4 linked regions of the Saccharomyces cerevisiae S288C genome follow. Changing the gene in region 2 together with the main gene of any one other region gives a genetic interaction. Each region holds a gene or a part of one and is shown on either strand. Other genes may lie near its edges.

The links.
Region 1: mutations in SEC53 (region 2) and NAB3 together harm fitness more than expected from each alone (negative genetic interaction), as found in Saccharomyces cerevisiae (2 studies listed by BioGRID).
Region 3: mutations in SEC53 (region 2) and MAK5 together harm fitness more than expected from each alone (negative genetic interaction), as found in Saccharomyces cerevisiae (2 studies listed by BioGRID).
Region 4: mutations in SEC53 (region 2) and TPT1 together harm fitness more than expected from each alone (negative genetic interaction), as found in Saccharomyces cerevisiae (2 studies listed by BioGRID).

The regions. Positions count from the first base shown.
Region 1 is NC_001148.4:184,817-191,179, forward strand, and holds NAB3 (Nab3p), read right to left. Parts: upstream 2,910-6,363; coding exon 501-2,909; downstream 1-500. Other genes in the region: COA2 (Coa2p), read right to left, coding at 3,491-3,697; GUP2 (putative O-acyltransferase), read left to right, coding at 4,338-6,167. UniProt on the Saccharomyces cerevisiae protein: May be required for packaging pre-mRNAs into ribonucleoprotein structures amenable to efficient nuclear RNA processing. Binds to poly(A)+ RNA. Appears to act in the maintenance of CLN3 mRNA levels.
Region 2 is NC_001138.5:42,384-46,656, reverse strand, and holds SEC53 (phosphomannomutase SEC53), read left to right. Parts: upstream 1-2,264; coding exon 2,265-3,029; downstream 3,030-4,273. Other genes in the region: LAM5 (Lam5p), read left to right, coding at 1-937; ubiquitin-specific protease OTU1, read left to right, coding at 1,097-2,002; FMP32 (Fmp32p), read right to left, coding at 3,219-3,842; GTPase-activating protein RGD2, read right to left, coding at 4,092-4,273. UniProt on the Saccharomyces cerevisiae protein: Involved in the synthesis of the GDP-mannose and dolichol-phosphate-mannose required for a number of critical mannosyl transfer reactions such as folding and glycosylation of secretory proteins in the ER lumen.
Region 3 is NC_001134.8:525,670-531,541, reverse strand, and holds MAK5 (ATP-dependent RNA helicase), read right to left. Parts: upstream 3,226-5,872; coding exon 904-3,225; downstream 1-903. Other genes in the region: SUP45 (translation termination factor eRF1), read left to right, coding at 1-673; BMT2 (25S rRNA (adenine2142-N1)-methyltransferase), read left to right, coding at 3,504-4,517; GTPase-activating protein IRA1, read left to right, coding at 4,914-5,872. UniProt on the Saccharomyces cerevisiae protein: ATP-binding RNA helicase involved in the biogenesis of 60S ribosomal subunits and is required for the normal formation of 25S and 5.8S rRNAs. Required for the maintenance of dsRNA killer plasmid.
Region 4 is NC_001147.6:124,030-128,636, reverse strand, and holds TPT1 (tRNA 2'-phosphotransferase), read left to right. Parts: upstream 1-1,947; coding exon 1,948-2,640; downstream 2,641-4,607. Other genes in the region: IZH4 (Izh4p), read left to right, coding at 717-1,655; myo-inositol transporter ITR2, read right to left, coding at 2,807-4,607. UniProt on the Saccharomyces cerevisiae protein: Catalyzes the last step of tRNA splicing, the transfer of the splice junction 2'-phosphate from ligated tRNA to NAD to produce ADP-ribose 1''-2'' cyclic phosphate.

The sequences.
Region 1 (6,363 bases), on a different chromosome or scaffold from region 2:
AAACTAAAATAAACGACAGGCAGATGACTAAAACAAATCAAACAAGAACCTCTAGGGAAAGGTGTCCTAAGCGCGGAACTTCTTTTCGTTATGGGGTAAATAGAGCGGTACTTAATAATCTGTTTACAAAGCAATTTTACAAAGTTTTGATATAAGAACATTTAACTAAAGAGAAGAAAAAGAAATGAAAAGCCATTCTCTTGGCAGAGGAAACAAATGAAGAGGTGCGTGTAAGTGAAATAAATAGACCAAATAGCATTTGATAAGGAAGAAATAAAAGAAATTTATAACAGGGTAAAGAGTTTTTCGTTCTGAAAGAGATGCAGCAATAGTAAGAATTAAGTCCTAGTCCAATTTGGGAAGGGAAAACGATTAAAGCATAAACCGCTATGTCGAATTTATGCAAACCATATCAATCTACTTTCCTTAAAAATTTTTCGTCCAATTAAAAGAATTCAAGTATAATGTACAAGAAATGGAAAAGATTGAAAAAAGGGAGTCTATTTTTGTAGTTTTGCTAAACTATCTAATAGACTTTGAACATTATTGCCAGCAGGTTGCTGTTGCTGTTGCTGTTGCTGTTGTTGTTGTTGTTGTTGTTGTTGAGGTGGCGGAGGTTGGTGTGACATTGGTGGGGCAGAGGGTTTTGCAGATATATTTTGACCATTGTAATTGGTACTCATAGGAGGGGGAGAGGATGAGTTCATAGAGGAATATCCACCCAACTGTTGTTGCTGTTGTTGAGGAGCCTGGCCTTGCATTGATTGTATTAAACCAACCAATTGCTGCTGAGCATGAGGTTGTTGTTGCTGTTGTTGGGCCATTGAAAGCAAATTCGATACAACGTTAGGTGGAAGGTTTTGAATGGCAGATAATAGTTGTTGCTGGTCCATTGGAGTTTGAGAAGGTGGTTGAGGAGGCGGACCAGCCTGATAACGACCATACCCTTGAGGAATTTGTTGTTGTGGAGGTGGTGGTGGAATAGAAGTCTGGTAGCGACCGTAGCTCTGATTCATTGGAATTGGAGGTTGAGAACCATATCCTTGGTCATGGGATGGTGGTGGCATCCCATAATTACCATATGGCTGTTGCTGTTGTTGTTGTGGAGGAGGCATACTGTAACCCTGGTAATAGTTTGTTTGAGGAGGAGGTCCGACAGCTGGGCCGTTTGGAACAGGAAGAGGAGGAGCGCCATATATGTTTTGCTGATGGCTCATAGCACGGTAATCAGTAGGACGAGAATTATTTCTGTTGTTTTTGATGTTATTAAAAATGGCAACTGCGTCATCAGCGGATATGCTAATATATTCATCAAATTTCGTTTCACCTTGTGAGCCTTTGTAGAAAGTTTGAACATCTACATTGTGTGTTTTATTAACTAAAACAACGCCCCACACCCCATTATATGCGGCATCATTGATAAGCTTTCCCAGTTCCATTCTTGGTTTCAAGAAAATCATATCAGTTTCCAAACCAGTCCCGTCCCTAAACCTGTTGAAAACCTCAATGGCATACGTACGATCTGCGGTTCTTTTAACGAAAATGTTGCAAGAAACGGTGTGTCTTCTGGATTTCTTGTAGCCAGCACCATTGTCGTCATTGTACATGTCACCAGATTCAGTTTGAAATGGTCGTTTTGCGGAAGAAATAAAAGTAGAACTACTGTTTGTACCGTGATCACCATGATCAAATTGAGGACGAGCATTCGAGCTAGAAACTTCCAGGATCAACTTTTTGCCAAAGTTCATTTCTTGAGACTCGCATTCAATTGCATCTCTAACGCTTTGAGGGTTGTCAAACTGAATGAATCCAAAGGCATTTTTGATATTGATTTGCATGATATGACCGTATGGAGAGAAAATCCTAAATAAATCCTCCTTAGAAACGTTCTTTAGCGGCAAATTACCAATGAATAATCTTGACTTCGGAGGAATATTGTGCATCTCGGTGATTTTATTTTCACCGTGCAAATAGGCTGCATAACGGTCGTGTTCTTCTTCGGTAATCGGCTTAGATAAATCCGCCCTAGGAAATCTCATACGTCTTTGGGCATCTGACAATGGAGGTTTTCTTTGATCATTGCTTCTTGCGCCGCTTGTGGCTGAGGCGCTAGCTGTTGTTGAGATAGTACTATCATGAGGAGGTACGGAAAGAGCTGTGTCAGAATTTGAATTTAACATTGCTAAAATCGCAGACATCTTTTCTTCTTGAGGTAAATGTTGAAACTGAGGCAAATTTAGCATGTTACTGTCCATAATGTACTTGACTTGCTTTTGTAAAAGATCGTAATTAACATTTTCCATATTAGTTGGAAAGTGAGTATTATCATTTTCTTCACGAGTTATTTTTTTTATAGCTTCATCTACGTCCTTTTGTTCTTTTTCCAATGTTTCACGGCGAAGTTCGACCTCTTTATCTTTGGTTTTATCCTTTTTGTCTTCCTCATCCTCACCGTCTTCAGCGGCACTATCTGAGCCTACCGAACTGTTGTCGTTGCCTTCTTCTTCTTCTTCTTCTTCTTCTTCTTCATCATCATCGTCGTCATCATCATCATCGTCATCATCCTCTTCTTCCTCTTCTTCCTCTTCATTATCATCATCGTCATCATCATTTCCGCCTTTTTGTTGATGTTCTTCTTCTTCTTCTTCTTCTGTGTTTATTACTTCCCCGTTTTCCTCTCCTTTTTCCTCCTTATCTTCCTCCTCTTCATCGTTCACATCTTCCAGTTCGTGTTGTTCTTCATTTTCCTCCTCCCTTTCGGCTTCTCTTTCTTCCTCTGGGGCGTCAAATTCGATTCCATCGTCTGCGCTTGAGTTATTCATCAATTCATTCTCGTTAGAGTTACTATCGACGGATAGTTCAGGTGAAGGAATATCTTGAACATCACTGTTATGGTTTTCATCTGACATGGCTTGCAGATGGTTATTATATTATGAAAGGACAGTCCGGGAAAAACGTAAGTCAATTATTATATTTTGACCAAAGAAAATCGCTTGTTGCTGTGCAGAATCTAATAAAGATGCTCAAGATAGCTTTTATTAGACCTTCATTTAGAAGTGGCAAAATCAAATGAATTGTTTTTTGTCCTTTGCTTCTTCCGCTTCATTTTCTCTTCAACAATTCAGGGTTACACTCAATCACGTGGGATACCATAATTTATCGTTCTACAAAAAAATGCAAGCACGAACTAGGGCGGTAGTTAGGAAGCGAATAAGAATAGCGCTTTTTCGTTTCAATTTGGAATATTAAAGAGTGATATTATTAATGGTTTTCTTTTTTGGAATGTGATCTATATACATATTTAAATAGTCTCTTTTGTATTTGTGGTGTCATAATGAAACTGCATCACACCAGATGCTTACCCATACAGAAAGTCGATTGATTATGAAACTTGAAGTAGCGAAGATTACGGCACTCGAAAATAAATAAAAAGAGGAAATAAAAGAGATAGAATACAACTTATCAAAAGTTCCAGATAGCCCGTACCTGTTTAAATCTTTTTACTTAAAGCATCCTTCCTCTTTAACTCCTGCTCATGAGCAAGCTGAAGCTTGTGTTGCTGTACAGCTGGTGAATCAGAATCCACTGAATGTGCTGGACATGGCAGCACAGAACCGATGGCCACTGATGCGAATGCAATGAGAAATGTAGAAAAGTATAGGTTATTGACTATTTTGTTTCTAGTGACTGCTCTCATGATATGTGTCTGAATTAAACTAATTGGCCTTCCGTGCCTGTAAATTCAATAAATAAATAGGATGTTAAATTTTCCTAATGTGTCTCGAGGTGCTTATGTTATCGTGCAAGCGCTGAGTTCGAAACGCTGTTTTGATGAATATCCTATATATATCAAAAGTACAAACACGGGGAAAGAGAGCCATCCCATCAAAAAAAATAAAAAAAGAAAACCCTTGCAGAAGGAGAACTGGTGTAGAGGTTTCCGGTCTTAATGGACTTAAGCACGTGACTTTTAAAACCCATGCATCGGTTACTATGGTTACCATTACTTACGATTTTTTTTTTTTCGTTATGAACCCTGTGCCCGAGGGGTTTTCAGGCACATAGATCAAAGTTCTACTCGTTTACCTGTAATCTTGGCGCGTTTAGGTCTCTTTTTTTTTCTTTTTTTTTTCTTCTTTTTTCATTTGTACTGCGTTATAGTTGTTTATGGAAGGTACCAATGGTGAATATGGAAAAAATGAAGTCAAATAGAAGAAGAAAGAGAAGCTAGCTTTGAGGTAGGTACTGTTTTGAGGGTTTTTGGGTGCTTCAAATTTGTCTTCTCAACTACCTTATTATAGGGCTCAAAAATAATTGACGTCATCGCTACAAGTCAGATGTCGATGTTAAGAATCTGGAGTTGCATCGTACATTTCTTTTCCGTGCAGGCACTTGATTCACGAATAAAGCCAGACATTGAATTCAAAAGGCGACAAAGGATATTTATCAATTCATCTAAAGAAGAGAATGGTTCATCTTCTAGTGCCGTTACTGTTACCCGTAACCCTGTGCTCAGCTCTAATAGCCCATCTCCTCCGCTATGGAATACATGGGAATTTAGACTATATTATTTGGCGTTCACCGTAGTAGTTCCTTTCATGATAAAGGCGGCATTGGCTACGAGCTCCGAGTCTAATCCAAACTACTATAAATTCAGCGGACTGCTAGCCCATGGTTGGATTCTGGGCCGCAAAGTGGATAACAGCGATCCTCAGTATAGGTTTTTTAGATCCAATTTTTTTTTGTTGGCCATCTTAATATTACTACAAATTATATTAAAAAAGGTTTTTGTTAAATTTAGTAAAATTCCGAAAACAAAATTCGATTTTGCGTGTGGATTAGTTTTTGTCTGTTTCATGTACGGGATCAATTCTGTTAAGCTCTTTACGCATGCTTTTATTTTCTTCACTTTGGCACATTCGCTAAAGAGAAAGCGTTTGATAGCCGCTTTTGCGATTTGGTCCTATGGTATCTTTACACTATTCATCAATCAAAAAATGAAAAATCTCCCCTTTAATAATATTGCTATCATCCTAAGTCCCATGGATCAATGGTATAAGGGTATCGTTCCTCGATGGGATTTTTTTTTCAATTTTACATTATTGCGTTTGTTAAGTTACTCCATGGATTTTTTGGAAAGATGGCATGAACAATTGAGCCGCCAACCTTCGATAGATTACGATGATAGACGACCTGAATTCAGAAAAAGTTTATCTGGTTCTACTCTACAAACCATTTATGAGTCAGGTAAGAATGTTCTGGAGGAAAAGGAACGACTGGTAGCAGAACATCACATCCAGGATTACAACTTTATCAATTTTATCGCTTATATTACTTACGCGCCATTGTTTTTAGTGGGCCCAATTATCACTTTTAATGACTACCTTTATCAATCAGAAAATAAGCTTCCTTCGCTAACGAAAAAAAACATAGGCTTCTATGCCCTCAAAGTATTTTCGAGTTTGCTTTTGATGGAAATTATCCTACATTATATCTATGTGGGTGCAATAGCAAGGACCAAGGCATGGAACAATGATACACCCTTGCAACAGGCTATGATCGCGCTGTTCAACTTGAACATTATGTATTTAAAACTTTTGATCCCATGGAGGCTCTTTCGGCTGTGGGCCATGGTCGATGGTATTGATGCACCTGAAAATATGCTACGATGTGTGGATAATAATTATAGTACAGTGGGATTCTGGAGAGCCTGGCATACAAGTTTTAACAAGTGGGTAATCCGTTACATCTATGTTCCATTTGGCGGGTCCAATAACAAAATATTAACGAGCTTTGCCGTATTCTCATTTGTAGCAATATGGCATGACATCCAATTACGAGTGTTGTTTTGGGGGTGGTTAACAGTCCTTTTATTATTAGGCGAAACCTACATTACTAACTGTTTTAGTAGATATAGATTCAGAAGCTGGTACAGGTTTGTTTGCGGTATCGGTGCTGCAATAAATATTTGCATGATGATGATTATTAATGTCTATGGATTTTGCTTGGGTGCAGAGGGAACGAAGCTTCTATTGAAGGGCATATTTAACAATTCACATAGTCCGGAGTTTTTGACTGCGGTAATGGTAAGCCTATTTATTGCTGTTCAGGTAATGTTTGAGATTAGAGAAGAAGAAAAAAGACATGGCATCAACTTGAAATGTTGATCTAGTTATTAGATAAGCTATGAAAGTCAATCCTTTTAATCGAGAATGTAAATATGTGGAATACACAATTTTAACCAAAGTACTATATATGCGTTACAAGTAATTTAAATTTAAGTTCACCGAAGTAAAACTAACTGCAAGATTGTTACAAAGAACAATGCACTATTTAAATCACACAATGGCTATTGAAAACTGT
Region 2 (4,273 bases):
TACCCCCAATAGTACGAGTTCCTCGCCGGATAAAGAAAAAGAGAAAGCGTATAAACTGCGTGCCGATTCCTCGTATCAGTATGATGGTCCAATATATCATCATTCAACAAGCTTTCCGGCTGAACCTATGGCCAATAACGAGTTTGTTCTCAAGGAGTTACCATTCGATTGTGCACCTGGTATACTTTTTGAGATCATGTTCAACTCAGAGCAAAACGAATTTCTTCTAGATTTTTTACGGGGTCAAGAAGGTTCACAAATTACCACTATTCCAAATTTCACGAGCATTGACGGATCTTCCATGACTTTGAAGCGTGAGTATTCATACGAGAAAGCATTGCACTTTCCTGCGGGGCCCAAGTCCACGACATGTTATGTTGCTGAGGTAATAAAGAGAAAAGATCCTGATACTTACTATGAGGTTATCAGTAGCATACGCACTCCGAACGTGCCCAGTGGTGGTAGTTTCTCAACTAAGACAAGGTATCTAATCCGTTGGAATGACGAAATAACGTGTCTGTTACGGGTATCCTTTTGGGTGGAATGGACTGGTTCCAGTTGGATCAAAGGTATGGTTGAAAATGGATGCAAGAATGGTCAATTGGAGGCTGCGCAATTAATGGAGCGTATTCTTTCCAAGTTCATCAAGAACAATGTCGAAGAGTGCCAAATTACTATCAGCAAGGAGGAAGAGGAGCAAGATGATAAAGAAGTAAAAAATAAGTTGAAAGAGGTTGACCTTGAACAACCAAGAGAAGCGGTTGTTACGGCTCCCGCAATTGCAGAGCAGCAAGGTCTCAAGGTCACCATGGAAACATGGTTGTTCTTATACTTGATTGTGGTCGTTTTGCTATTGTTTAATCTGTTCTACATACGTTCAATTGCTGTCTCATTACATCAACTGGTGAAGCTGCAATTGGTAGAACTGAAGTTGTGATCTGTATTTTCTTCGTACCAATATATATCGTTTCTATAGGGCAATGGTAGTAACTAATAGTAAAGGGCGAAATAAGCCGATTTCAGTGGCAAATAACAACTTTTTCCTTTGAAAACAAGATAACATTGAAGAAGATAACCAAGAGAAGAAACTTTCAAGATGAAACTGAAAGTTACTGGAGCAGGAATCAACCAAGTCGTTACTTTGAAGCAAGATGCAACACTAAATGATCTTATTGAGCATATCAATGTAGATGTTAAGACGATGAGGTTTGGATATCCGCCTCAAAGGATCAATTTGCAAGGGGAAGACGCTTCTTTGGGACAAACCCAGCTGGACGAGCTGGGTATTAACTCTGGTGAAAAGATTACAATAGAGTCCTCTGATAGTAACGAAAGCTTCAGTTTGCCACCACCACAACCCAAACCAAAGAGGGTGCTGAAGAGCACTGAGATGTCAATTGGTGGCAGTGGAGAAAACGTCCTATCAGTACATCCTGTTCTCGACGACAACTCGTGTCTGTTCCATGCTATTGCCTATGGCATCTTCAAACAAGATAGCGTTCGTGACCTCAGGGAGATGGTCTCTAAGGAGGTCCTCAACAACCCCGTCAAGTTCAATGACGCCATATTGGACAAACCTAACAAAGATTACGCGCAATGGATTTTGAAAATGGAATCTTGGGGTGGAGCCATCGAGATTGGTATCATATCCGATGCACTCGCAGTAGCTATTTATGTAGTCGACATTGACGCTGTTAAAATCGAAAAGTTCAACGAGGACAAGTTCGACAACTACATTTTGATACTGTTCAACGGAATCCACTATGATTCCTTGACCATGAACGAGTTTAAAACTGTTTTCAACAAGAACCAGCCGGAATCAGATGATGTTCTAACAGCAGCTTTGCAACTGGCCTCAAATTTGAAGCAAACTGGCTATTCCTTCAACACTCATAAGGCCCAGATCAAATGCAACACTTGCCAAATGACCTTTGTGGGTGAAAGAGAAGTTGCTAGGCACGCTGAATCCACGGGACACGTTGATTTTGGCCAAAATAGATAATAAAATACGCATTTGGCGTTTATCGGTATACTCGTCATGAGACACGAAAAGTGGATAAAATGCATTCCTTTTGTCGTTGATGAAAAAAAAATTTGAAATATATTAAAATGTGCCGTTTTTTACGTGTTCTTTTCACTTATTTTTCTGTTTATATCGTCTATTCTTCTTGGCAAAGTATAAGATCTTTGACGAAAACTAAATCGACAATTTCCTTAGTACTTCTTTCTCCTTTTTTACCTATCTGCTAATATAACCACCAATAATGAGTATCGCTGAATTCGCTTACAAGGAAAAACCAGAAACTTTGGTTTTATTCGATGTTGATGGTACCTTGACACCAGCCAGATTAACTGTTTCTGAAGAAGTTAGAAAAACTTTGGCCAAGTTGAGAAACAAGTGCTGCATTGGTTTTGTCGGTGGTTCTGACTTAAGCAAGCAATTAGAACAGTTAGGCCCAAACGTTTTAGATGAATTTGACTATTCTTTCTCTGAAAATGGTTTGACCGCCTACAGATTAGGTAAGGAATTAGCTTCTCAATCCTTCATCAACTGGCTCGGTGAGGAAAAATACAATAAATTGGCCGTCTTCATTTTGAGATATCTATCTGAAATTGACTTGCCAAAGAGAAGAGGTACTTTCTTGGAATTTAGAAATGGTATGATCAACGTTTCCCCAATTGGTAGAAATGCTTCTACTGAGGAAAGAAACGAATTCGAAAGATACGATAAGGAACACCAAATCAGAGCCAAGTTCGTTGAAGCTTTGAAAAAGGAATTCCCAGACTACGGTTTGACTTTCTCCATTGGTGGCCAAATCTCTTTCGACGTTTTCCCCGCTGGTTGGGATAAGACCTACTGTTTGCAACACGTTGAAAAAGATGGTTTCAAGGAAATTCATTTCTTTGGTGACAAGACTATGGTCGGTGGTAACGATTACGAAATTTTTGTCGATGAAAGAACCATCGGACATTCAGTACAATCCCCTGATGACACCGTCAAAATTTTGACTGAACTATTCAACTTATAGCTTTATTTCCAGGTTGCTACGTGATTATGCCATTTGTGATCCGTTTGGTGATTCTTTTTTATCCTTCTTATATAAATAAATATACTCTTACTACGTTATTGAATGTGTACTCTTACTGAACTGTGTTATACAAAACGTAAATGCAATTTTCAAGTACCAAGTCTAGCCCTTTTTCCTCGCTTGTCGCCACTATGTTAATAACCTCATATATGCTAATACAAGTGCAAATGTACCTGTACAGACACCTATCAGCCATTGCATGACTTGAGTCTTGACAGAATCAATCTGCATCTTCATATTGGTCACTTCTTGCTCAATTTTGGTGTCGATTTCTTTTATTTGCAGATCGTGATGACTACTTTCTTCCCTAATTCTGCCTTTTTCTAAGGACAGATCAAGTTTGAAACCGGCGTTTGTTTTGGTAATTTCTTCCCTTAGTTTGTTTCTTAGTTTCTCCAGATCGTTTTTCACACTTTCGTACTCGTTTTGAATATTGTGAAATTCACTTCTATCAGCACTCAATAGCTGATCTCTTAACTTTGCAAAATCAACACGTTGTTGATAGCTAAGTTGGGTCAATTTTTCTCTCTTTGCCAGATCCTGTGAAACATGATTAACCCCGCCCCTAATTGCATCTGTCATTATCTCTACTATTGTAGTTGCTTGATCCTCTTGAAATTTACCGTTCTCTATAAGTAAATCTTTAAAGTGGTTCGTATTGGGAATATGCACAGTTTCAAAGTCACTGCCCAGCAAAAAGGACGTTCTATGAAAGCAACGCCTTGCAGGCAATCCAACAATACGCTTGAGCATTTTATTCCGTTCTACCTTACTTTACTTATTACGCTCACTTGAAATGACTAATTACAGATCTGTATTCTTCATTATTTTTTATTTTTCTTATAGTTCCCTTCTTGCTTTTTCGTGTGTCCTCTATAACAATAATGTAAATAATTATATCTCCAATAAAAAAAGAACTTGAAACAGCTGCCTACAGTGAAAGAAAATGATGTACATATTTCCTTTTATATAAAATTATATACAAATCTATATCGCCTAGTCCTAATTTTTTGAATTTTGCCTTTTCAATTCGTGAAAAATCTGTTTCTTATGTGTCAGTAGATCATAGAAAATCTTAAAACCAATTTCATTATCATCGGTGATCTTTGACTGGATAATACAATTGGCAAATTCTTGTGAAATTGAGACGGTAAACTCATCTGCTACTTCATTACCGTTCTCTC
Region 3 (5,872 bases), on a different chromosome or scaffold from region 2:
CAAAGTCAATGTTAAGGGTTTAATTTTAGCTGGTTCTGCTGACTTTAAGACCGATTTGGCTAAATCTGAATTATTCGATCCAAGACTAGCATGTAAGGTTATTTCCATCGTGGATGTTTCTTATGGTGGTGAAAACGGTTTCAACCAGGCTATCGAACTTTCTGCCGAAGCGTTGGCCAATGTCAAGTATGTTCAAGAAAAGAAATTATTGGAGGCATATTTTGACGAAATTTCCCAGGACACTGGTAAATTCTGTTATGGTATAGATGATACTTTAAAGGCATTGGATTTAGGTGCAGTCGAAAAATTAATTGTTTTCGAAAATTTGGAAACTATCAGATATACATTTAAAGATGCCGAGGATAATGAGGTTATAAAATTCGCTGAACCAGAAGCCAAGGACAAGTCGTTTGCTATTGACAAAGCTACCGGCCAAGAAATGGACGTTGTCTCCGAAGAACCTTTAATTGAATGGCTAGCAGCTAACTACAAAAACTTCGGTGCTACCTTGGAATTCATCACAGACAAATCTTCAGAAGGTGCCCAATTTGTCACAGGTTTTGGTGGTATTGGTGCCATGCTGCGTTACAAAGTTAATTTTGAACAACTAGTTGATGAATCTGAGGATGAATATTATGACGAAGATGAAGGATCCGACTATGATTTCATTTAAATAAATAAAAGGGGGAGAAAAAAATCGAATCAAAAAGAATTTAATCACTAGATGCCAGATTTAAATTAAATTCGCTTTTAATTTTTTGTACAATATAATATATACTTGGTAAACCTTTTGCTCTATATTGAGCTAATTCCTTTGTTGAAAGTACATAGTGGGTTTAGAGGACCGTGTATATTACGTAGAAAATACAGTGAAAGGAGAGTTTCTCTTCAAAAGCCTCGAGATTAATTATTTCTCTTTTTCTTTTTCTTCAAAGTTTCTAAGGCGTTTGTCTTTTCATGACCAATGATAGAATTATGACCTCTTTTTTTGACCAAGTTATCAGCTAAATTCACTAGCCCACCTGTCAAATATTTCTGTCTTCTATCTTTACGTATAGGCACTGATAACAATTCGTTCAACGTAGCTCTCATGGCTTTTACCTTGTCCTTATTTATAGTCTTCTGCATTTTTTTATTTTTATTTTTTAGTAAGAAAGTGTCCGAATTACTCTTTGATATATCGTCTTCGTCGGAATCAACGTCAATACCTAATTCATCAGCAGCCTTTTTTAACCAATTGTCATCTTTTCTTAGGGAATTAGAAGCAATTTCATGATCAGCCAGTTCGCCTGCTAATCTACTTCTTTCTCTGAGTTGTGAAAGTATATCGGTTTCAATTGGTAACAAAGGCACAGTGTTTTGCCACTTGATGGGTTTTCTGTTAGTTGATCTAGAGTTCAAATCCGTCGAAACACTATTTTTTGTAGCGAGAGTTTTTCTTAACTTTCTTAATGGGCCCATAGATTCTTGAGGTGAGCATATCATGGCAGAGACACCTTCAGAACCTGCTCTTGCAGTTCTGCCTGATCTATGAATATAAATATCAGTAGATCTTGGTAAGTGGTAATGAATAACGTGTTGAACACCCGGAATATCTAAACCTCTAGCAGCAACATCACTTGCAATCAATACTGTTGAGAGTTGAACGGAATCCGGATTCGAATGATTTATTGTTTTCTGTTTAGCGCTTTGTTGCTTGAACCTTTCTAAGCTTTTCAAACGGTTCTTTTGTGTCATGGAAGAATGAATTTGAAAAGCTGGGATGCCTAGGTTATTTAAGTATACGGTCAATTTCTTCACGGAGTCAATGGCATTACAAAAGATCAAAGTTGTACCTGGGAACATGGTTAAAAAGTAATAGCAGTATAGGTCACGTTCTAATGGAGGACATTCAATTAAGGATTCTTTGATTTGAGAGCTCACTTTTGACTCAGGATTTGTATCTATTATAACCGGCTTTGAGTTGAAGTGAATTTTGCTCATTAAGTGTTGTATTACGGCATTTAGCTCATCTTCGTTGTTTTTAAACCTTCTATCCTTAACTTGACGGGAAGAAGATAGCTTATCAAACAAGTCGATGGAGAATGTTGCAGAAAAGATCAAAGTTTGCCAAATTTTGCTACTGCCCTCGGAGTTTTCTCTGTTTTTCCTTCTTTCTACTAATAAATGTTTAATGATTTTTTCGAACTCGTCGAAATGACCGTCTTGTAACAGCCTATCAGCCTCATCAAGGATTAGCGTATTTACTTTCGAGAATCTTTTGATTAAAGTGTTGTCTTTTTCCAACAGTTCCAAAAATCTACCTGGTGTTGCGATGACAATTTGGCCACTATTATCGTACTTTAATAGACGTTGTTGTTTTTGGATAGAGAGTCCACCTGTCAAAGATAATATCGAGTACTGAGATTTCGCTAGAACAGGCTCACAGATCTTTTTTAAGTGGTCTGTGACTTGATGCGCCAGTTCTCTTGTAGGAGTAAAGATTAACGATATTGGTTTCTTGTTTTTCTGAGAGAAGTTACTGATCAGTTTCTCTACAATTGGAATACCATAGGCTAAAGTTTTACCTGAACCTGTAGAGGCTTTCCCCATGACGTCTACGCCTTGCATAATAACTGGAATAGACTTTTTTTGAATTTCTGTAGGTCTGAGAAAATTTAAATTCTGCAAGCTCTGCAAAATAGTCATTGAGAGAGGTGCAAGATTCGTCCATTCAGGTAAATTTACAGGAGAAATATCATCGATATTAATGTCTTTGTTAAAGACGTTTTCTTTCAAAACATCCTCATCCACATCCTCATCCACATCCTCACTGGGATCGGTTAACTTTGAACTCTCAATATTACCTTGCTCATCCTCGTCGGATGATGAATAAGATGCTGCACTCAACTCTCCTTCTTTAATATCGTCCAAGTTCTTGAATTCAAGGAGCTCGGACTCCGAATCTGACCCTGATTCATTTTCCACAGATTCCTGATCATCTCCGACTTTTTCCTTATTGCTATCTTTTAACACTTTTGAATCTTTTTTGGTGACGAAAGTTACTTTACCATCCACGACTTTAACGTCCACTCCGTCAATTTCTTCCAAGCCATAAAATCCACCAAAGTCATCTAAAGTGTCCGGAATATCTACTGGTTTCCAGTTCAATTTGGATTCATCTACAATTATCTCCTGTGGCTTTGTGACCGTTTTTCCTTTTTGAGGAGCCCTTTTCTTACCCATGATGGAAAAACTGATTATGCCGGTATTTGACTAAAGAATTTCTACCTGAGGTTATGATGATAATGATGGGCAGGTTGGCGAATATAACTTTTTTAGATGGAAATTCTTATAAGCTCATCGCTGGAAAAGTTTTTCAGAGAAAAAGAAAAGTACGGACTAACTAACCTTGAGGCGGGTTTGTGAGGTGAAAAAAAATATAACAATTATAATATCGATGAGCTAGCCATGACCTTGATGGCAATCTTGTATCAGCTTAGCGATACCACTAATACAGCGGAATGCATTCAAGAAAGTCGAAGAGTATTACGGGCAAGAGGAAGCAAGTAGGAAGTAACGTGACGAGAGTAATCAAGCCACAGAAGACAAGAAGGATAATAAGAAGATTCCACCATTTAATTAATAAGCGTCAATCGATATGCAAGTTTTTATGCCTTAAGGAAAACCTAGATGATTCCAACGAGGAGAAGAATGACAAAATTATCAGGTTAAGTATTAAAGGTAATGTAAGACTGGGCAAGTACTATGAAGACGGCAAATCGCAGTCCTTCAATGATGCTATGGAATCACAACTACTGAGGCTGCACTCATTAATTAAAAATGAATCCAAATCAAAGGATACTTCTGACTTGGCTGTGATGTACACATTACTTGGTTACATAATGAATCAGATTAATAAATTGGGAGGACTAGAAACTTACCAAATTGCCAGTCAAAACGGGCAATTGAAGGAACGAGGAGGAGACACGTCCAAGTTGCTCGAGAAATGGATCAGGTCCTCATTTGAAAATTGTCCTGGAGCAGTGGCATTAGAAATTGGTTCATTGAGCTCCGGAAATCGCATATCCCGTTGTGCACTTTTTAGAAATGTGGTTCGTATAGATTTAGAGGAACATGAAGGCGTTATTAAGCAGGATTTTATGGAAAGACCGCTACCGAGAAATGAAAACGACAAATTCGACCTGATATCATGCTCTCTAGTGCTAAATTTTGTCAAAAATCACAGGGATCGCGGTGCAATGTGCCATCGCATGGTCAAATTTCTCAAGCCGCAAGGCTACATCTTTATTGTTCTGCCACAAGCCTGTGTGACGCACTCAAGATACTGCGACAAAACACTGTTACAAAACCTCCTCGGCTCTATCGGGCTCATAATGCTTAATAGCCATCAAAGTAATAAGTTGTACTATTGTTTGTATCAATTGCAGGTAGTTCCACCGCAGCCGAGTAGCTTTTCCAAAAGAATCAAGGTTAACGACGGCCCTGGGTTGAACAATTTTGGTATTACCCTCTAAGCGAGCCGACACCGCCTGGAAGTTTTTCATAAAGGGATACAATATAGAAAGATGTGTAAAAACGTTAAGTAAAAGATGAGCAAATGAACAGTGTTCGAAGGAGAATAACAAGAGTTACTGCTCATATAAAACTAATATACTAAAGGTTTTCGCTTTGTATTACGATTGAAACAATTAACTGTTTTTTTTTTTTCCGCTTATTACACAGTACCGGTTTCATTTACGCCTTTGATCATTTTATTGGCATTGGGCTCATAGTAGTTTTCAGCGCGTGGTTAAGCTATTTAACGAAAGCGTATAAAGTCAAGTGATCATCTTTTGCCCTGCAAATAGAGCTTCAAACTTAACATTCTTCTTCAGCATATAACATACAACAAGATTAAGGCTCTTTCTAAAATGAATCAAAGCGATCCGCAAGACAAAAAAAATTTCCCAATGGAATACTCTTTGACCAAGCATCTTTTTTTTGATAGGCTTCTACTTGTTCTTCCCATAGAATCTAATTTGAAAACATATGCTGATGTGGAGGCAGATTCAGTTTTCAATTCGTGTCGGTCCATCATTTTGAATATAGCCATCACTAAGGACTTGAACCCGATTATCGAAAACACATTAGGTTTAATTGACTTGATTGTGCAAGATGAAGAAATTACGTCTGACAATATTACAGATGATATTGCCCATTCTATATTGGTTCTTTTGAGATTACTGAGTGATGTTTTTGAGTATTACTGGGATCAAAACAATGACTTCAAGAAAATTAGAAACGATAATTACAAACCGGGATTTTCAAGTCACAGGCCAAACTTCCATACATCTAGGCCAAAGCACACGAGAATCAATCCAGCTTTGGCGACGATGTTACTATGTAAAATTTCTAAGCTGAAGTTCAATACAAGAACTTTAAAGGTTTTACAGAACATGTCTCACCATCTTTCTGGCAGCGCTACTATCTCAAAATCGAGTATTTTACCCGATTCACAGGAATTTTTACAAAAGAGAAACTATCCAGCATATACCGAGAAAATAGATTTAACAATAGATTATATCCAGAGATTCATATCTGCTTCCAATCATGTTGAATTCACAAAGTGTGTCAAAACAAAAGTTGTTGCACCTTTATTGATATCACACACCTCAACCGAATTGGGCGTAGTAAACCACTTGGATTTATTTGGTTGTGAGTATTTGACTGATAAGAATCTGCTAGCATATCTGGACATACTACAACACCTGTCAAGTTACATGAAGAGGACCATTTTTCATTCGCTTTTGTTATATTATGCTTCCAAAGCTTTTTTATTTTGGATAATGGCAAGGCCAAAAGAATACGTCAAAATTTATAACAATCTAAT
Region 4 (4,607 bases), on a different chromosome or scaffold from region 2:
CTACAGAACTATTTGAGTCTCAACCATTAGCTATAGAGCTAGTCGGAAATGGCGGGACCGAAACAACTTTTGATAGTACAGGGAACTCCAGCGTATGTTTCTCTAGGTGACAAGAAATAAAACTGGAGACAGGCGATTGACAGAAGGATCAGAAGCAATAGTCTTACTACTTATAGACAGAGAAAAATGATTATTCCATATGTTACCCTGATATTCTACGAGAAAATGGGCCTTCGTCAATAGCTATTTAATTTAAGCATATGTACGGGCAGTACCAGCTGTTATAGTTTACATAAAATAGACATATTCACGTGTATGCAAGGGCACATAAAAGCAAAGGCTGACATTGAAACATAGCAAGCCAAGAGATAGAAAAGGAGGATACGGGGTGAACAGCCGGTCTATTCTTATATATACTTCAAAGAAGCGATAGTTCTGTCCGTATAAAAACTCGGACAATTCGGACAGCACTCCGCGAGAAAAGGGCTCGTTGGGCAGCTCAACATTATTCAACGCAAGCCTGTTGAGCTCAATTGGTTTTAATTGTAAATACTCAATGGTGTCAACAGCTAAATGATTTACACTCATATATATGGTCCGGATATATGGACGCAGAAGTAAAATAAAAATGAAAAAAAGTAGAAAAGGAAATTAATTTCTTAAAGTTCTTGTCAGCGCATATAATATTGGTATAAAGGTACATATATATTGACAGTATGGTTTCATTGACTACAATAGAGCAAAGCCCAGTCAAATGCGAGACAACCACTGAGAAAGAGAGCAATGATACTAGGGGGACAGATTCGAACGAGAATGCAGAGACAAAAGAAACAAAGAAGGGTTTTCCATTCCATGACTTGGCAAAATTGCAGAAACAGTACAAAAATAAATCCAGTAGGAACGAGTCACTAGTAGCACTAATATATCTCTTGGGTTCGATGCTGTCATTTTGTCTCCTAATATTTTTCACGGACTTTTATTTGATACCTTTGTTCCCCACCACCACTACAATGACAGACTACATTGTATTCAATTTTTATTTATTGAACGTTTTTGTATTTTGTATGGTGCATTTCATTTATCACTTCGTCAAAAATATTTCTCTACAACAACATCTCGAACATTGGCAGAAGTTTTCGTATTTATCGAATATCAACTTATTGATATCATCACAAATCACAATTCTTTATTATCTATTCTATGATTACGTGTTTTTCTTCAAAATTTTTACCCTTTTAATGAACTTCATAGGATTAGTGGCATACTTTTTTATATTGACGGACAAACTCATTTCCTCGAAAAGATTCAATAAAACAGTTTTCTTCATTTCGGTATCAGTAGTGTGTTGTTCCTTGCCACTATTAACCGCAATAATCACCTTTGATGGTTTAGAAAACCTGAAAGAGAGGATAAAAGTGAACGCAATTACGTGGGAACTTGTGGCTTTGGTAGCGGCATCTATAATTTACGTTACCAGGTTCCCTGAATCATTGTTCAGACGAAATAAAAAGGAAGAAGGTTGGAATCATTCCGAGTACCTTTTCCATCTCTTGATTTCTGGTACGGCTTTTTACCATTTTTTCATTTTGATTCAATCTTATATTTTGATGCATTCAAGTTTGAATCAGCCCGAATTAATTAATTTCAAGTCTTAGACTCAGCTGGTGCTCACATAATAAATAATTGAATAAATAAGGCAAATTAAATAAAAAAATAATTCAAGAATGGGAAGTGTATCTCCTTTAAAGATACTTACACGAGTTGAATTAAGCTTCATGTTTTGACTTTAATGTCTTCTGCGGTTCTTGTCCGTATTTCTGTCTTCGTGATGTATTTGTTCTTTTTTACTGACACCGTGACGCGAGGAAAGCTCATCAAAATAATGGCAAAATGCATAATACATTATTACAGAATTGAGCAGAATGACTGGGAAAGGTGGACTTGACAATGCGCCAGGTACTACAAAAAGATAAAAGGGATGTACAGCTTTCCAAAGCTTTATCATATCTGCTTCGACATACAGCGGTGAAAGAAAAGTTGACTATTGACTCAAACGGTTATACACCGCTGAAAGAACTATTGTCTCATAATAGATTGAAAACTCATAAATGTACGGTGGATGATATCCATCGCATTGTTAAGGAAAATGACAAACAACGCTTTCATATAAAAACGTTAGGAGCGGACGAAGAATGGATCTGTGCTACTCAGGGACATTCAATCAAATCGATTCAGCCATCAGATGAGGTTCTCGTACCAATTACTGAAGCGTCGCAGTTACCACAGGAACTAATTCATGGAACAAATCTTCAATCTGTCATAAAGATTATTGAATCCGGAGCAATATCACCAATGAGTAGAAATCATGTCCATTTATCGCCGGGGATGTTGCACGCGAAGGGAGTTATTAGTGGAATGCGTTCTTCAAGTAACGTCTATATTTTCATCGACTGCCATTCTCCATTATTCTTTCAAACTTTGAAAATGTTCAGGTCGCTCAATAATGTTTACTTAAGCAGCAGTATTCCCGTTGAATTGATCCAAAAAGTTGTAGTTAAAGGAAACTTGAAAGATGAGGAGAAGTTAGATACTTTAAGAAGAATTTTACACGAAAGAAACATACCGCTCGAAAAGATATAACTTTCATCAAGCTCAACTTTTATGAATTTTTATTTTTAAATACTTCGCTCTTACTTATATATTTAAATAAAAACTTTTAAGATTAGATGAAATGAATTGTCTCCCTTTTATAGCTTTCTTCCTTCTTTTTTGTTCTTTATCTTTTATTTTTTGTTGGTGTAGCAGTCTAACTTTCTACAATTTCCTGTGTAGGTTCGAATTTGAGTTTATGATGGGCAGCACCTTCGGCCACCTGTTGTTTCCTCTTTTTAGCTAGAGCTTTAGAGGCTTTGATATTGAATCCGTCCTTTAAAATTGTTTGAACTTCCTCTAACTCCAATCCTGATAGTTCTGGATAACAAAAGTAACAAAAAATGGTTGATAAACATGCTACACCGGCAAAGAATGAAAATGTACCCGTTGGTGTAATATTTTGTAACATAGTCAAGAACGTAGACGCAATGACTAAAGAACCTGCCCAATTGGTGGCAGTAGCGTAGGATGTCCCTACACCTCTGACGTTTTGTGGAAATAATTCCGATTGTTGCCATGGAACAGTGCCGATACCGAGGGCATAAAAGGCTGCATACACAATAATAAATACGATAATGACAATGCCCCAAGATGAAAATCCATCAGATGCCACTACTGCATCAGCACCGTTAAACTTAATACCTAGGAAATGGAACGCTATAGCACATATAACCAGCGCCACAGTCATACCAGGTAGTCCAATCAGTAAAATGTACCTACGGCCGATTTTATCAATACAGAAAAATGCTATTAATGTGAACACAAAATTAGTACCTGAGACAATAATAGAAACGGCAGAAGAATTTTTGAATCCAACAGTTTCAAATATTGTACCGGAGAAATACATTAAGGAATTCCAACCTGTGAATTGTTGAATGGCTTGTAGACCACAACCAATAATCAAAGCTCTGAAATTTGAAGGCACAGTGTGCAATTCCTTGACCATATTCCAGAATTTTGTTATTGGATTTTTTCCTGGTATCGATTGATTTAAGCTAGATAATTCTTCAACTTTTTGATCAATTATTTCATCTTCAGTGTTTACGTAACTTCGTTTGAGAACCATTTTTGCTCTCTTTAAATCGCCTTTCATTACGTAGTATCTTGGTGTATCCGGCAAAAAACAGAAAAAAGAAAACTGCAAAACAGTAGGTATCAAGGACAAACCAACTAAGATTCTCCAACCGTTTTTGACGTGGTTCAGGCCCGCACCACAACCGTAAGCAATCAATTGACCACCTGTCAGCCATAGGGAATTTATAACGGTTAACCTACCCCTGATCATCTTAGGAGCAATTTCACTAATAAAAAGAGGAGAAATCAAAGAACCAATACCGACACCGAAACCCATAATCAGTCTACCGGCCGCCATTTGCCAAAACTTGTGCGCGGTAATTTGTAAAATTGCTCCGATCAAAAACATCAGATTGGAGAACATTAAACATGGTCTTCTTCCAAACACATCAGCAGCAGTACCAGCGCCCACACTTGTAATCAAAGCGCCCAATGATGTGGCGGCCGTAATTAATTCTTTTTCTCCATAAGTTAAAACTTTGTTGTCTAAATCTCTATTGATAGAAATTAGCGCACTCGATATGTAACCAGTATCATAACCAAACATGAACCCAGAAATGGACGCAACGAATGTCAATGTAATAATAAAAGGGGATATTGACTGATTGAAAGTTATAATCACTGATGTATCATCTTCATCGTTAACTGGTTTAATGACAATTCGACCGTCATCCTCGTCCTCATCCTGTCTAGATTTTATTTGCATTGTAGAGGTGGATACGGGAGACTTTTTCGGTTTTTGACCATCATTGTCTTCTTCACAGTGCTTCCTATGGTGCAGTTCTTCTCCCTGCGTAGAAGATTGATCAGTTGAGGCGGCCCCCATACCACTGCTATTAGTGTACGAGGGAAAGAAATGGGAGAGACGACTCTTCGTCCAT